Nothobranchius furzeri: one gene and its partners. The protein of the gene in region 1 purifies or fractionates together with the protein of each later gene. This does not show direct contact. Links are inferred from orthologs where the notes say so. Each region holds a gene or a part of one and is shown on either strand. Other genes may lie near its edges.

Region 1 (4,358 bases):
TCTGCAGCATTGATATTTATTCCCAACAATTAACTCAAGCCTGAAGGAGTTCTGCTTTGTTGTGGAGTTGCTAATGCTAACACTTAGCTTCTACTAGTTGAGATGTTCTCTGCTGTTTCCTGGACACTAAATCAACAACAGCCTTCCCCATTGCAAGTCAAGATGGGTGAATCCATGAATGGTAAGCGACAGTGTGACGTAGAGCTGTCAGGCTTTTCAAATCCTAGAGCAGGGGTATTCAATTCCGGGCCTGGAGGGCCGATATCCGGCAGGTTTAACCCCGTTCCAACACACCCGATTTCAATCAGCATATAATTAACAGGTATTTGCAGAGCCTGATGAGCTTCAGCACATGTGATTCAACCATTGAATTAAGTATATTGGAGCAGTGAAACAACTAAAACGTGTTAGATGCCAGCCCCCCAGGCCCGGAATTGAATACCCCTGTCCTAGACTTTCACTATTTTCTAGACTTTCACTATTTCTATCAGAAGCTAATGAAGGAGATATATAAAAAATAGGACACTATTTTCACGTTCAGTCTGCATGTTAAACTCTGAGTGACTGATTTAAAAAAATAAGTAAAAATTGTTTCTTAGTGAAGGACCTCTTTAAGTTTACAGTTTGGTTGTGCAACGTGGGGTCAGTGTTGAAGTTCTAATTCTACCAAAGGAGAAATAATTCAAACATCATCTCTGAGATGCTATCTAACTTGTCTTAAGTGCTTGAAAGCTGATTTTCTCAAACTTCTTAAACTATGTAGAGTATAGGGCTGTCGCGGTTGAGGAATTCCCCCTGCGGTGATTCAGGGTGGCTTAATATTGCGGTGTGCGATATTATTGCAGCCCTTTTTTTATTGCAGTACTATCTAAACATAATGTTTACACATTTAAAAAAGGTTAAAAATTGCCGTGCCTTCTTCAATAACGCTTTACTGAATGCAGATCAAAGGGCAGTAACAACACAGATCGCAGTAACGTTTGTTTCTCCGACAGTCGGAGTCCAACTGAACTTAAAAACAACAAAATTCAGGAGGTTAAACTTTTAAATGCAAATTTGGCTGCAGCATCTAACAAATAAGAAACAAGTCCCCATTTTGTTTAGTTGTTTAAAATCAAGCATAAAAAATTACATGTACCGGGCGCGCGCGCGCCGGGGGGCGGGCGCACTATCATTTCACTTTCACACACACGAATGACGGTGATTTATAGCTCGGTCACGTCCTTGTTACCTACAAGGAAAACCAAGCATGTTAACCATATACGGTTTGAGAGAGGATCTGAGAGGGGTGGCAACATTTCCAGCAACACTGAAAACCCTCTCGGATGGTGCGTTCGTTGCACTAACGCACACGTACTTGCGTGCGACTCTGCCGAGCAAAGGGAATGTCTCCCGGTTGTTGCTCCACCATGTCAGGGGGGTTTCTTTAGGGTGGATGCATTCCTCCTGCAGGTAGCGAGTGAGCTCCAGCTCGGCTCAAACTCTCTTCAGGACGGTTGCAGAAGCAGTGCTTGTCCGGGACTTCAGCAGGTCTCCGAGCGTTTATTATTATTTTTTTGCCGCTGGTGGCAGCTCTGTCTCGGCCAAGGACTCTGGCTGTGCAGCAGCTGACGTACTGAAAACCAAAGTGCTCCCAAAGGAGCGAAGTAACGTTTCGTTTTGATACCAGTGCAGCCATCCTTCTCAACATGCATCATTGAGTTGAACCAAGTTCAGTAATCGCGGTGGTCCATGATGCAGCGCGGTGGGCTTCTTCATATTGCGATATTTCATTTTTGCGGTTACCGCGACAGCCCTAGTAGAGTATAAAAACAGTCCGCTTGAAATTTGAAAATGTTTAGATATCTTCAAATGACTAGCAGTGAAAAAGCTGTAAAAATGCTGACGTGTCACATTACAATTAAGTAGATATTGCACACAAAATTACACACATTATCAAATCTTTTAGCAATGTTATGACTGCCATAACAATGGCGATTAGGTGCAATTTCCTACATTTTAATAAAAAAATGTAAAATTGCATTAAGTACATTTGGGTACTTTACATTTGATCTATGTTCTTAGTTGTATATCAGTGCTAATATATTGGCAATGAGGTTTGTTACTGCATTAAATTTGCTAAAGTGGCTTTTTAGAGTATTTTGTACTTCTGTCCATTTGTATAAAATCTAAAGTTGAATGAAAATGGAGTTAACAAAAAATAATAATCTTGGGTGTCATTCATAGTGCACCTAAAATACATTCAAGTACAGTTTACATGTTTGCTCCTACCTGTGAGATTCACTAAAGAGTATAAATCTCTAAAAACAAACCTTAAACTGTTTCAATATTATATGATATAAGGTGCTCCCTATGCTTTTGGAAGCACTGATTAAAGTATTTGCATACAAATAGACAACAACAAGCGTTTAAAGCAACTTATATACTATTTCTTTAATGTATTTATTCTTAATTATAAAATAGCCTAAAATAAATTGTAATAGTCGTGCAACGTAACCGTAATATCAAACGATGTCATTTGTTGTCATAAAAGACCTGAATGACATCTCTGTTACCGTTAGCATAACATTGCGGTGCTAACATACGTAGACTGAAACGAATATAAAATAATTTCTTTTGACGGACTTGAGAGAAAATTGTAATCAGTTCTCCGTTTTCATCACTCGGCATTTTATCAATGTGCATGGTCTAAGTCAGTAAAAAACAAGGGGTTATAGTAATCTAAACCAAAATAACTTTACAATCAGTTAGCTAGCTGCTTATAAGCTACTAAGCTAACCAACGCCGTAGCTTTCCACATGCTAGCCGCGTAAATACCTTCATCTCCCTCTCAGGAGGGGAGTCTGTATCGTCACTCATTTCGAACAGAAACTTCTGATTCTCCGGATGAGGTTTTGCTTTAATTTATTCCTTCAAAGCGTAGATGTAAGTCAAAGTTCGAGCGAGCTACATCAACTGAACTCGCCGCGCCGTTTTGTGTGTGAAAATAAAATAGGATGACTAGTGGATGCTAGAGTGTCCTTTTGCAGTTAATAAATAAATAAGGATGACGAGTAGATGCCAGAGCTAACTGAGATGGCCCACCAGTCTCTTGGATCCGAATAAAAACAAAACGTGTTTAGAGCTGATTTTTGCATCTTGTTTCTGATCATATTTGCCGGGAAAATGTCTTGTCTGTTTACAAATAGTATGTCAGGATGTTAATATATATTGTTTTCATATCATAAATGTACAAATTAGCATAGTTTCTTATTCATAAATCCAAGTTCTATAATCATAATTTATTCCTGTTTATTTCCCATAGAAGAGTACAAGTGTCATAAAAACCTTAAAAATGTGATATATGAATTTAAACGTTTACATTTTTTGTGCTGGCATTGCTCTAAGCCCCTTTGATTGTTGCATTTATGGTACTGACTCAAGAAGCATTTAGCTTTTTATTTATTTTTCTGCTATTACTCTTTGCCTTAGCCAACCTAATGTATGACGTATGGTTCTTAATGAAGTAAAACGTTTTAAATATTTTAAACATGGATAGTTATGATGCAATAAAAGTGACATACTAAAAAAAATGCTAAACAACATTTAAATCAGACTATTCACATTCTTAAAGTTGTATTTTTATATCCAAGTTTTTATTTTCCAACTGGTCTCCCTGACTTTAATGAAAATAGTTGAGAATACTTAAAAATCTTTTATAACTAACTTTTGACATGAAATCTACTCAGGGGAACAAAAACAATTAGGTAAAAACTTTTTAAATGTCTAATAAAGTTATACTGACTTTTGTTAACATACACTTGCAGGAAAGTTTGTACTTGTGTATAAGCACTTTACAAGTTGCAGAAACTTTTATTTCTCCTATGCATGATTCTTTTTTGAATCAGTACCCCTTTGGGAACCCCAAGAAATGAAGACAAAAGGAATAGCCACCCACTACAGTATAGGTGAAGTAAGGACTTTTATTAGAAAGCTGAATTTTCTGTTTTGCATTTAAACAAATCAGGTACTCCTCTGCGACTACATAACTTAAAACTGATAATGGCAGAGATGATGGTAGGAATGAAAGATAAGATTCTTATGTAACATCAAAAGTGGCATCTTGCATTTCCATTATATAGTATTCATGCTTGAGCCAGAAGGCGCATGAACATTTTAACATTTTATTCTTTTAGAAAGCAGAAACAACATCCAGGATTTCCGGGGCCAGGCCCTGCTGATTGTGAAGAACAATACAGTGATCGGAGTTTACAGTTGCATGATCGGATCCTTTTGTCAGCTTGTGCACTGACGTCCATTATCAAGTTAGGTAGGAGTTCAGACTTCAGGCCAAGACTGGCCCACTCTTGCATGACAGA
Region 2 (4,248 bases), on another chromosome or scaffold:
AATTTTAGATATTCTGGGAACCACCAGTAAAGAAGGCACCTCCCGTGTATTCTTGCTTAGCTAGCTAAACAGCTAACAAACGAAGAACAGACACCTCGGTAGCACATGATGATTGGAACACGCCTTGGCGGTACCTGATTACGTATCTCCTAGGCAACCGGGGCAGGACCAAGACATCAAGAAACACCGAAGAGTTTGAGATAAAACTGGGTGTTAATTGGCAAGTATCTAGCAATATAATATGTTGCTATACAGGAGAGACGATACGATATATTGAGATACTAAAAGGCTGACTATTTTTGCAATTTTTAAGTGAATTTAACTGGGAAAACTCAGACAATTCCAGTGTTTTCGCAAGATATCGGTCTGTCAGACTGAAGGAGGAAGAAACTGCTGCCACCTAGCTGTCAGTGTTTGATCTGCACCACACAAAAGAAATACAAGAAATGTTGGCATGTAAATTCTCAATAATAGATACTCTGCTTTTAAATATCGATTCTGTATCATAAACCGAAATGTTGTGATATTTCAGTGCATTGAATTATTTTTACATCCCTAGAGTGTTATATGAATACATCTCACCAAAATCCAGAAACTGCTTCATTGAAAGAGGGGAAGGAGAAAATCTGGAGTAATAATCGATATCCTTCCCTACTGACACGCTGTTCCTCAGAAACCTCAGAAGCCTCATGTTGACCGGGTTTACTAGTTATTCGGAGGAAGCAGGTGGCTTCCGAGCCACACTTAGTGTTATTTAACGACACTAGCTCGTTGAGCAAACCCAGCAGCTCGCAAACACGCTGTTAAATTTATTATTGTTCAGTTACGTTGCTAATTGATGCAGGTTCAGCATCCATAACTACGGCCGCGCTGCAATGTTTGTGTATCGTCCGGTGTGTACTTCAAGTGATCGCTGCTAAATCCACCGAAGCAGAAAAGTCAACAAGCTAATTCAAAGAGTTACTACAAAGTTCAAGAGGATTCATCGTTGTTGCCTGGCGTATACCGACACGAAGTTCTGTTGAAAGGCTGTATTTAAAATTATTGTCAATATTGACGGTAAATTGCGAAAATAAAGACGTATAAATGCACGATAATGTCCTAAATAATGTCTTTTATTCACGTGTGTATGAAAGAAGAAGAGTTGATAGTGCTCGTTATTCTGTAACTATCTTGCCTTTGCATACTCTTTGTAAAGGCCAAACTATATATTTTTCCGAATGTTTGTCTATCAGGCAGTCAAATGAGCCTATCATGTACCTCAAATCTAATCATAACTCTGATTGGATAAAACAGTTGCCAAATAAATTAATAGGCGGAATTATGTCCCTGCAGACAAAATTCAGGGCATACGAGAATGCCGCGTCTCGGGTGTCGTCACTTCCTTTAGGTGGCCAGATAATTGCCTGTTAAAGGAAATGTCGGTTCACAGGCCCACGTTTTTAGCAATGTGTTATTGATTTTGGCTCTATATTCCTCGGAAGGTAACGTTGATTAGCGTGTGATTTCATTCATTTCCTGCGTATCTGTGCAAAGTTACTTAAATAGACGCAGTGGGGATTTTAGGAACTTCAGTCGGAGGAGTTGGTCATAGCGACCCGCCAAAAGCCACAAGATTCGGCAAGGAAGTGGCCGTTTTAAACGACACGTAACGGCTGTGTTTAACTTCTTGTGAGGATAATGAGTGGCGGATTCAACTTCGGACAGAATGCAGGGTTCGCCTTTGGAGCGCAGAAGACCACTGCCGCTGCCCCCAACGCGGGTTTTACATTAACCAGCTCAGCAGCTCCGGGAGGGGGGTTCGCCTTTGGAAATGCCAACCAGACCAACCCCACCGCCTCTTTCAGCTTTGGCACCCCAGCCAAGAGTTCCGCAGGCGGCACGGGGTTGTCTTTTAGCACGCCTACTGCCTCGTTTGCTCTTGCTACCCCTCAGACAACACCGGCAGCAACAGGGTTGAGTCTGGGCTCTGCAGCAACTCCGGCTGCCGGGTCAGGGTTCACCTTAGGCAGCCTGCTAACCTCGCAGCCCCCAGCTGCTGCACCAGCAGTAGCAACAGTGGCACCAAGCGGGGGAGGATTCACCTTCGGTGCTCCCACACAAGTCCAGCCTCAGTCAGTGGTAGCACCCACAGCCACGACAGCAGCAAGTGGCATGTCCATTGGAGGGTTCAGTTTTGGTGCTCCCAAAGTCCAGGTGACCTCAGCTGCAGCCCCCACTGCTGCCACAGGAGCGGGATTCAGCTTTGGAACCCCTGCAACCACCGCCTCTGCAGCTCCAACCACCCAGGGTGGAGGTTTTAACTTTGGGATTAAACCTTCATCAACCCCAGCCCCTACAGCAACCACCCAGGTGGCTCCGACTCCAGGCCCTACTCTGTTTGCGACACCCATAACCACCACCGCCGCCACTACAGCAGCAGCTCCAGGATTCATGTTTGGTGCAGCTCCAATTTCGGCTCCACTTTCATCGGTGAGCACTGCAACCACCACAGCAGCTGGAGGGGGCTTATCCTTCCCACTCAAACCTCTGAGTTCAGCAACCACCACCTCTGCTCCGGCCTCCATCCTAACTGCAGCCGCCACCACAGGCACAGCTACGGGCTTCATACTGGGACTCAAAACTACATCCACCACAAGCACAACCACAACAGCCACAACAATCGGCACCACCACCACCACTGCTCCTCCTGTGATGACCTATGCCCAGCTGGAGAGCCTCATAAACAAGTGGAGTCTTGAGCTGGAGGACCAAGAAAGACATTTCTTACAGCAAGCGACTCAGGTGAATGCCTGGGACCGCATGCTGGTGGAGAACGGAGAGAAGATCACATCCCTGCACAAGGAGCTGGAGAAGGTGAAGCTGGACCAGAGGAGGCTGAACCAGGAGCTGGACTTCATCCTGTCCCAGCAGAAGGAGCTGGAGGACCTGCTGTGTCCGCTGGAGGAGTCCGTGAAGGAGCAGAGCGGAACCATCTACATGCAGAATGCCGATGAGGAGCGTGAGAGAACATACAAGCTCGCTGAGAACGTAGACGCACAGCTGAAGAGGATGTCTCAGGACCTGAAGGAGATAATTGAGCACCTGAACACATCCAGCGGCCCAGCTGACTCCAGTGACCCAGTAAGATCAGATCTAAGTCATCCTTAAACCTGTCATTATGATGTTTGCCTTTTTCATTCATCTCTTTCTCTCTGTTTTAGCTCCAGCAGATTTGTAAAATTCTCAACGCCCACATGGATTCGCTGCAGTGGATCGACCAGAACTCGGTTCTCCTGCAGAGAAGAGTGGAAGAAGTGTCTAAACTCTGCGACACCCAACGCAAGGAGCAGGAGAAGAGCTTTCGTTTAACCTTTGACTGATCTGTTGATGAGTTTAACTCTGCATAAACATTATGCTCTTTTGTTTGGATTTACTCATTTCACTTTCTGTTTTGGTTTTATTAAGATAAATATTTTCTCAATAGTTCTTTATAAAGTTAATTGATCATATTAAATGTTCTGGGTAGTGTGATTAAATAAAACAATTGCAGTGGATCTCATTCAGCCTGATGTGGTGTGTCATGACTCTAATTCTCACATCTAATCTGAAACATGAAAGATCTACCAGACTTTTTGAGTTGAAATAATCTAAATTACTTAATCATTTTAGAGCTTTAACTGTAATTTGTCTCAGTAATGATCTACAAGCTGCTTAATTCTACCTGAGCCCTAGATTAGATGTAAAAACACAAGGAGGCGGGTGCAAGAAATGATAAATGACCCGCACTTGTATAGCACCTCTCAGAGTAAGGACTCCAAAGCACTTTACACTACAGTGTATCATTCATCCATTCACACACTGATGGTGATGAGCTACGATGTAGCCACAGCTGCCCTGGGGCGCACTGACAAGCAGAAGCATTGGTTTTCTTAACAGCTCCAGATAAGGTAGTAGAACATGTTGGCCAACCTCACAGGTATGTTGCAAAACACTTTGAGATTTTCATTCTAATACAATGTTAAAAAATACAATTCACCATTTCTACAGTAAAAAATTCCCAGGAAATTAAACAGCCATGTCACAAATATAAAAATGGACTACAGTTTGTCCTAATTTGCAGAATCTGCTAAAAATAAGAGCTTCATTGTCATCCGCTGCTTCCCACCCAAAGCATCGAGATTGATTGTTCCATCATAGGCTGGTAATGTCTGCAGAATCCACGAATGGGGAAACATGAAAACAGTTATCCGTGCTCTGTAAACAATA
Region 3 (4,176 bases), on another chromosome or scaffold:
TAATCTAAACTCACAGAGAGGGTCAAATGAACTTTAATCCTAGAATTATGATACAAGTTATAAACTAGAAAACAGATCCCAGGTGGCATAGAAATGGTAGCTTAATGCTTCTCATGAATGAATCAAACAGAATGATTTTCCCCAAGGGGATCAATAAAGTACACATTATTCATCATCTTTATGTTGAATGTTTGACATGTTAATATATTTATAATACCGGGAACAGTATTCATCCAGGATCTCCCTTCTCTCCCATTCAATTCTTTTCAATATAAATTAGGACAAAGATGTTATCTACAAGTTTAAACCCTGTATAGTTTCACAAAAAATAATGTTTGACTCATTGTTTTACCGTTTTCCATTTAAAAACATCACCAACCCAAAGCAGCTGTTAGTTGTAGAATTTCAGACATTGCAGAATGACACCAAGTTTGTTAAACTAATATATAAAAAGGTTGGTATTGCTTGATTTTCCATCTACTACAATCAGTTATGTGACTGATGCTGGAAGTCATTTATAGCTAGCTATATGGAGTAACTAGTACTTAGAATTTCTGCATTTTTGCACTCTTTGGGATTACTGAGGACAGTCATTCTTATTTGGCCTATTATTCATAGACTTGATAAGAGAATGGTTTTAAATAACATGGACATGAAATAGTTGTGTTTATCTTTCAACTACAAGAATAATAAAAACCACTTGTTTTATGAAGTAATTTCAACAAACACTAATTTCACAGGAAGACCAGAACTGTGCATTTTACACGTCTGTGTCATAAACTTGTGATGCAGCGATTTTACAATATTTTCTGTAAATGTGATGTTCTAAACATTAGTGGCAAACCTAATTTGGTAAAAACAAACACTGGGTTAGTCTTGTACAGTTTACATTTAACTTTCTCAGGTTACTCACCAACATACTTCTTCTCAAACTCTCCTGTAATGTGTCTCTTCACAAAAGTTGTTTTTCCCGTGCCTCCATCTCCGACCAACACCAGCTGTGAAGAACAGACCAGTTATCTACTGACCGGTTTGTGCTGGTACACCAGTTACCTCAGCTAAAACGCACACATTTTTGCCCTCACGCGCCATAATTAGATCATACTTAACATCATTCTTAAGAAGTAGATTCTTACCTTGAACACCGCCACAGGTACACACTGTCCCATAGAGTCAGCCATGGTTCCAAATATTCTGAAACAAACAAGGCGGGAATCTACCGTTAGTGTTATCTATACGTTGATTTAAGTTAAAGATTCTCAATAACTCAATTTGGCATTCTGGGAATATTGTTCACACGGGGCTTTGAACACGCACCATTCTGTACAGACGAGTTTACAGCTAAGGGATAACTTCTAGCATGTTCTATCCAAGCTAACGTTCCGACATGTTCAAATGCGACGTTATAATTTATGAAAGCTTGCTAACGCATCAACAAACAGCCTCTAACTGCTCTCCGGTGTGCCAAAATATAAAGTAAAACAAAGCTACCGTGCCCCCCAAAAGCCTCAGCACTGGCGGTTACCAACTAGCCTTCAAGCTAACAGGCGTTAGTTTAGTGCGCCATATGATGCCTGAGCGCACTTTTTCAGGTTCGACTGGAACAATCAGACAGTCACAGAAGCTAATGCGTTCCATGTTGCCGTCAATTTCTGGTCTAAACAAGACGCCTTCCGTAAATAACGTTAATTGCGAACAAGAAAAAATTGTGAAAACTCCCTGGCAAATATACACAAATAAGAGTAATAGGAACAAATATCCCAGAACAAAGCCGTGAAATGGAGCATTGCTGTGCTCGCTAGCCTCACAGCTAGCACAGCATGGAAGCCATTCTTCCCCGTTAGCTGGTAGCACAAAAAATGCGACGGCCTTTCCCCCTCAACTGCTGTTAAGGCTGCACATGCAAAACGACCTTAACCCAAAAGAAGAAAATAACCCAAAAAGTTTTGTTTCATTCTTAGTGACTTAAAAACAATCCAAACTTGACATTTAGGAAGGCCCTCAATTGAAGAGGAAACTAGCGACTCACCGGTGTCACTGCGAAGAGAGGAAAGAGTAAATGGCTGCGTTCGCGGCAGATTCAGCGTGGACTATGAGTCACTTTCCGCCCTGGTCACGTGGCCTCCGCAGCGCCAAAAACGCATAAAATATAGAACATGAATCAGCATCCGTCTGATATACCTTCACGATGCGCACTCCGCTGCTTTGTTCTCAAAGCAACACTTCTAGAGATTAAACCGTATATATCATGTTTTTAAAGTGTTGATCAAGACATATGGGCCCGATAAGAAGCCAGCTAGTTTTTGTTGTTCAAAGGTTTCTGCCCTTTTCTGAAAACTTCCAAGGACCTTCGGGGTTATAAATCATAAATTTGACATTTGCACTAAAAGGAGGTTTTGACAGGAGGAGCCTTTCCCAGACACCAGTGTCTTTCTGTACTTCTCTACTTCAGGAACCCCTTTCAGGCTCTCTAAAGATTACGGAGTAATGAAGGGAGGCAGATGCCCGATGATATGTGTTACTTAACTCTATAGACATTTCTGTGTTTATGTCCATGCTTTAACCCCGGCTCTTCCATTGTTTGTTCCTGTAGCAAAGTTAACACGCAGGGTTAAAGAGTGGCCTTTAAAACTCATCTGGTTTAAAAATACATAATCAATTTGTATAATTTCACCCGTAGTTCATACCTTAGTGGAAACTGCAAACCAGAGCTGACAGAAATGGGACCAAGTAATAGGTTCAAATGATTCTGGGCCTGTGTTTTATATTAGATCATGCAGTTAAATAAAACAGATCTAACAAGCTTGAAGAATTTTCCTGAAAAACATGTTATGACTGTTGATGAGGCACAAAAGAAGCAGAGAGAATTAAAACTAATTTGTACTCTTTTTAAATTACATTATTAAACTGCTATGACATTTTTCAAGTTGTGATTGCACTTAAACTAGCTGTTAGCTCATCAATCCTGTTGAATGTTTCAGTCCATTCAGAAAGCTAAATAAAATAGTAATTACTTATATCCTTTATATAAAAATACACTTCAAACTGGTCAAAACAATTCTGTTGAGGTTGAAATCAGAAGCTGCAGGTATGCTTCACTCCCAATTCTCCAACTAATCTAACACCAGCCTAGGTTTAAAATATGGTTTATTTAATTACCCTCAGTTGTTCTGGAGAAGCATTACATTGAAATGTTCAACTTAAAAACAATAAAAAATGTTTTAATGTGTCTGTAAATATCAGTGAGTAAAAACAAATGAATTCAACACATGAACAGTTCAAACTAACCCAATCCTACAACAAAACAAGCCAAACAGTGCCTGACCAACAAGAAAGCTCCCAACCTGTTCTAGCCAATGGCAAAAGAGCTGTAGTATTTAACCCTGGCTGATCCACTGAGTAGAAAACATTCTGTGGATAAGGAATAGTCGAGTCAGTTGGAGACAGGTCAAATCATTACCGCATGAGACCATCATTAGGTTAAAAACTGCCATATATCTAAAATAACGAAAGATAAAGAAAATTTTGCAAAAATGCTTACTAAGTAGAACTCGAGGGAATAGTGAAATGATTTCCAGAAACACATTATAAGGACTAACCAATGTAACCAGACTAAACAGCCGTTTAGCTCAGAGAGACACGCATTACTGAGGATATAAACCTCAGTTAGATGGGAAGCAGCAAGACTGATTCCTGACAACAACAGGATCTAAATGATTTAAGATGTTATTTTTCTAATAAAGGATTAACCAACAGAGCCACCCCCCCCCCCCAGTCATAAATACAAGATGAAAATTTAAGTTACTCAGTTAAGTTTTATGATTTACAGAAAAAGCTCAACAGTGAAGGTGTGCCTATAAAAAAGCTTTTAGAACAACTTTTGTTAGATTTGTTTATTTTTGTTTATGGCCAGTTAATGTATGATTACTGGGCTTGCTTCAAAATGAGCATTTTAACTCCACAACATGTAGCTATTTCTATAATGTACATAAGCATGATGCCAAAATGGTTTGTTTTTACAAGAAGTGGTTTATCTGTACAAATAGTCTGCCTGTATATTGGCTGCTATCTCAGGCTCCCATCGGTCTCCGTTGTTGAGCAGCTTTTCCTTGTTGTAAAGAAGCTCCTCGTGCGTTTCTGTAGAAAACTCAAAGTTTGGACCCTGAGGAGAAGGTT
Region 4 (4,238 bases), on another chromosome or scaffold:
ACACACACACACACACAAAAGTATGTTAAAAGAAACCATTAGGTATAAAATGTTCACAGCACACAAAAAAGTGTATTACTTGTAATCAAAGTAGTAACATTTCAGTTGAGCCATGTATCTCTCAAAAGATGGAATGTCTTTCTTGAGGATGCTCCACAGAGCTCCGATCTCAAGGACATCGCCTGGAAACACCATAAGTTTGAAGTTACACATGTACAGTTTTACTATACAGGCATTACTAATAACGTCTGAATAGGTTTTACTCACGAGCTAAAATAAGCTGCTGCTTGGTGATACCAGATCCTTTGGTAGGTAAAAAATTCAGCTCCAGTAGAGAAACCTGTAAAAACAGGGAATAAAATAATTAAAGAAAAGTGGATCAGAGAAGCACTTTTCGGTTAGATGACAGTGACATGTGTGGGTAGTAACAGAATAATAAATATAATTCATTGTCATCTCTTAATTATTTGACAAAGATGCAAGTGAAAGTATGACCAGAATCAACAAGAGAATGAAACTGCTGTACATCTGTATTTCAGATTGACATAAATATCTGTATAAAGATTAATGCATTGCTTAAAAACTTATTTAAATAGTACTTTATGTAAGTACTTTGTTGATTGGGTGCATTTCCACCAGAATTCAGTACAAATTAACATTAGATATAACATTTACAGTCATTCTAACGAACTGTCTGACAATAGTTGTTAAATAAAGATAAATAAAAACTATATTAAAAAGTATCCAGATGAATGTCAATGTAAAACTGATGCTAACGTTAGCTACAACAAATGATCCGTGTTCAGAGACTGTCGCTTAAAAAGCTCAAAACTATGAAAATGTCTAATAACGCAAACTGCAATGTATATCCGAATAATTAAAACTCAAATAAAAGCATAAACCATGTAAACAGTAATCCCTCATTAAACGTATACGGCGCTTTAGAACATCGAATTAGCCTAGCTAGGCTGTTAGCGTACTGAGCTACGTTTGCTAATACCACTATAGTTTGAGAGTAGGACGTGTTACAGATTCAACTTGTACGGTTTAAAAAATTAACAACGAAAACATTAACAAACGTGTCACCTTGAGCTTGCTCAAAAGGTCTCCACACTTATTCGGGTTTGGATTTTTCTTGTTCCATTCAGCTTTTAGAGTCTCATACAACCCAGCAGTCTCTTTCAACGCCATGGTGATTCTGCAAAATGTTCGACATTGGCTCCCGTTTAACGGCTGTCGTGAAACACCCGTTACCATAGCTCCCTCTTGAGACGGCACCAGTCCCACATTTGATCAAGATGGCGGCCTTCGGCGCAGAACGGTGGCTGAACAACTTGCCAAACCACACAATTTTCAGAAAACTACGAGAGACGCTGGATTTGGAATCCAGGTCAAATGAAAGAGAAGTCGCTAAAAATCTTACGTTTTGTCTGGGCGGGGACTTTTTCGTGTGGGACAACGCTGAACGCGTTTTTTACACGACCAACCTGAGGCAGCTGAACTCTGATAGTGAAAGCGGGAAGTTTCAGACGCTGCTTTGCATCAACCCTCCTCTGTTCGATGTGTGCCAGGTGTATGTGAGCCCAGTGCAGCATCACGTCGCGCTGGTCGGACAGCGGGGCATTTCGGTTCTGGAGCTCCCTCAGCGATGGGGCAAGAGGTCCGAGTTTGAAGGAGGACGGGACAAAATCAACTGCAAGACCATCCCGGTGGCGGAACGCTTCTTCAGCAGTTCACCGTCGGTGAGTCTGCGACAAGCTGCGTGGTACCCGAGCGAGACCGACGAGCCCCATGTTGTGTTGCTCACATCAGACAACACCATCAGGTTTTACGGTCTGAAGTCGCCTCAGACGCCGGCTAAAGTTCTGCAGCTGTCGCAGTCAGAGGATGACTGCAGCTCACAGCATCCGGTTCGGTCCTATGCTGCATCTCTGGGAGAGATAGCTGTGGCCTTTGACTTTGGGCCGGTTTCATCCCCTCCTCGAAAGGTGGCAGCCCAGATTCCCAAAAATCAGCTGGTTTACCCTCTGTACGTTTTGTATGAAAACGGGGAAACCTACGTGAGCTACGCTGGTCAGACGAACGGTCTGAGTGTGAGTAAACCGGCTGGACCCCTCCCTATGTATCCGGCAGCCGAGGATAACTATGGCTATGACGCCTGTGCCATCCTGTGCCTGCAGTGTGCCCCCAGCATCTTGGTGATCGCCACAGAGACGGGGACTCTGTATCACTGCGTAGTGCTGGAGTCTGAGGAGGAAGACGAGGCAGGGGCTGTGGAGAAGTGGATCCGAGGCACAGAGGCGGTACCGGCTCTTTACGTGTTTGAATGTGTCGAGCTTGAGCTCACTCTCAAAGTAGCTTCAAGGGAAGACGAAGAGCCTCAAGAGTTGGATTTCACCTGTCCAATTCGTCTGCACCAAGACCCCCTGTGTCAGCAGAGGTACCACTGCACCCACGAAGCCGGAGTTCACAGTGTTGGGCTCATATGGGTCAACAAAATGCAGAAGTTTCTTCAGTCCAGCGAGGAGGACAAGGACAGTCTCCAGGAGCTGGCTGCAGAGAAGCGCTGCATCGTGGAGCACATTCTCTGCACCAGACCGCTGCTAACCAGCCAGTCGGCTCCGGTTCGTGGCTTTTTAATAGTCTCCGACCTTTCCTTGGGCGCCACAATGATCTGCGTCACTGCCATGTTCGAGTGCATCATGTTGCCCCTTCTAAGCTCCATCCGTCCACCCTCCCCTCCACTGCTCTGCTCCCACCCAGTTCCTGGCTCCATCAGCTCACCTCTGCGTGGGCTCGCCAACGACTCCTTCGAGCAGCATATCCGCAACATTTTGACACGTGGCTCCACTAATCCCCTTGTGCTAAAGGCAGGCGATAAGGACACATCACCTCCACCTGCAGAGTGTCTGCAGCTTCTCAGTAGGGCCACACAGGTCTTCCGCGAGGAGTACATTCTAAAGCAGGACATGGCTTGCGAGGAGATGCAGAGGAGGGTGAAGCTTCTGCGAGAGCAGAAGAACAAGCAGCAGGAGGAGTTCACTCTGTGCAGAGAGGAGAAGAAGACTCTGAGAGAGGCGGCAGAGAGGTTGGCTGATAAGTACGAAGATGCCAAGTATCGCCAAGAAACCATCATGAACCGAGTTAAGAAGGTGTTGTGCAGCCTGCAAAGCCAACTGCCCATCCTGTCCAACAGTGAGAAGGACATGAAGAAGGAGCTGCAGACCATCAACGATCAGCTAAAACACCTGGATAATTGCATCCGGCAGGTGAACATGAAGATGGAGTACCAGCAGAAACAAGTGGACAAGGACATGTCTTCAGCTAGGATGACAGTGTCACTCAACGCTCAACAGAAGAAGGTTGTTCAGGACGTCCTGAGAGAGCAGGGACAGCAAATCGGTGACATGATGAAGCAGATCAAAGACATCAAAAACCACTTCAACTTCTAATCTCCTTTGAGACGCAGACATTTTCTGTTGGAGGAAGTAACTTTTATGTTTTTGGTCAAAGTTTCATGTTTTCTAGCATTTAGTGAAAAGTTACGAGTGCTTTATCTTTTAGGAGCGTGAGACAGACGTGAAAGATAAATGTTTTCCACCCAAAAAAATCTTTAAAAATGTTGTTTAAGTGGAGAACAGCAGGCTTACTGTTGGGTTTTCTTTGTTCAGGCTGTTCTAAAAATACAAAAATAAATGTTTATGCTCTCTAAAGACATGTTTTCAACTCAACTGTGTACTACACGTCTATTTTTGACATCGTTTTTCAACTTTTAAATAAATGTCAATGCTTTCTGTGGCTGTGACTATTTACAGAGCGTTAGCAGTTAAACTTTTAAATAATTAAACCAAATTAAATTTAAAAAAAAGTTACAGTTTTGATAGAATGTGATTTTTTAACTGGATGAATACATGATTGTGCTGAGCTTTGCTGCCGCTATAGGTCTGCGATTTTAAAGTCCAAGTAAAGATAAGAAAAGTTAAACACTTAAAATCTCCAGCAGATTTGATATGTTGTTAGAACACAAGTAAATATGGTTAAGAGATGCTTTTCTTGTAGAATCATTTTTATTTTCAATATTCTGACATGAAAAAATTTGTTGATTTTTGAAAAAAATTCCTTTAAATGTAGACTGTCAAATCTGTCAGGTTATGACAGATTTTTTTTAATCTGCTAAAAAAAATAAAATAAATTTAAATAACTTCAAAATCTAGTATTTATTAGTATTTCCTTCCTTA

The links.
Region 2: the proteins of nup214 (region 1) and nup62l purify together in Homo sapiens (affinity purification with mass spectrometry; 5 studies listed by BioGRID and IntAct, with this or other methods). This does not show direct contact. The link is inferred for Nothobranchius furzeri from reciprocal best matches to the Homo sapiens genes NUP214 and NUP62.
Region 3: the proteins of nup214 (region 1) and ran purify together in Homo sapiens (affinity purification with mass spectrometry; 3 studies listed by BioGRID and IntAct, counting the BioPlex papers as one, with this or other methods). This does not show direct contact. The link is inferred for Nothobranchius furzeri from reciprocal best matches to the Homo sapiens genes NUP214 and RAN.
Region 4: the proteins of nup214 (region 1) and nup88 purify together in Homo sapiens (affinity purification with mass spectrometry; 6 studies listed by BioGRID and IntAct, counting the BioPlex papers as one, with this or other methods). This does not show direct contact. The link is inferred for Nothobranchius furzeri from reciprocal best matches to the Homo sapiens genes NUP214 and NUP88.

Annotation. Positions count from the first base shown.
Region 1 is NC_091746.1:57,168,797-57,173,154, reverse strand, and holds the start of nup214 (nuclear pore complex protein Nup214), read right to left. Parts: upstream 3,002-4,358; 5' UTR 2,860-3,001; coding exon 2,818-2,859; intron 1-2,817. UniProt on the Homo sapiens protein: Part of the nuclear pore complex. Has a critical role in nucleocytoplasmic transport.
Region 2 is NC_091754.1:20,876,443-20,880,690, reverse strand, and holds nup62l (nucleoporin 62 like), read left to right. Parts: upstream 1-1,489; 5' UTR 1,490-1,680; coding exon 1,681-3,123; intron 3,124-3,203; coding exon 3,204-3,362; 3' UTR 3,363-3,541; downstream 3,542-4,248. Other genes in the region: pdk1 (pyruvate dehydrogenase (acetyl-transferring) kinase isozyme 1, mitochondrial), read right to left, coding at 583-691. UniProt on the Homo sapiens protein: Essential component of the nuclear pore complex. The N-terminal is probably involved in nucleocytoplasmic transport.
Region 3 is NC_091741.1:91,737,673-91,741,848, reverse strand, and holds the start of ran (GTP-binding nuclear protein Ran), read right to left. Parts: upstream 2,897-4,176; 5' UTR 2,030-2,896; intron 1,537-2,029; exon of another isoform or gene 1,318-1,536; intron 1,195-1,317; 5' UTR 1,182-1,194; coding exon 1,137-1,181; intron 999-1,136; coding exon 914-998; intron 1-913. Other genes in the region: ndufs8b (NADH:ubiquinone oxidoreductase core subunit S8b), read right to left, coding at 4,031-4,162. UniProt on the Homo sapiens protein: GTPase involved in nucleocytoplasmic transport, participating both to the import and the export from the nucleus of proteins and RNAs. Switches between a cytoplasmic GDP- and a nuclear GTP-bound state by nucleotide exchange and GTP hydrolysis.
Region 4 is NC_091753.1:46,764,504-46,768,741, forward strand, and holds nup88 (nucleoporin 88), read left to right. Parts: upstream 1-1,267; 5' UTR 1,268-1,298; coding exon 1,299-3,452; 3' UTR 3,453-3,794; downstream 3,795-4,238. Other genes in the region: psmd8 (26S proteasome non-ATPase regulatory subunit 8), read right to left, coding at 80-182, 268-340, 1,087-1,191. UniProt on the Homo sapiens protein: Component of nuclear pore complex.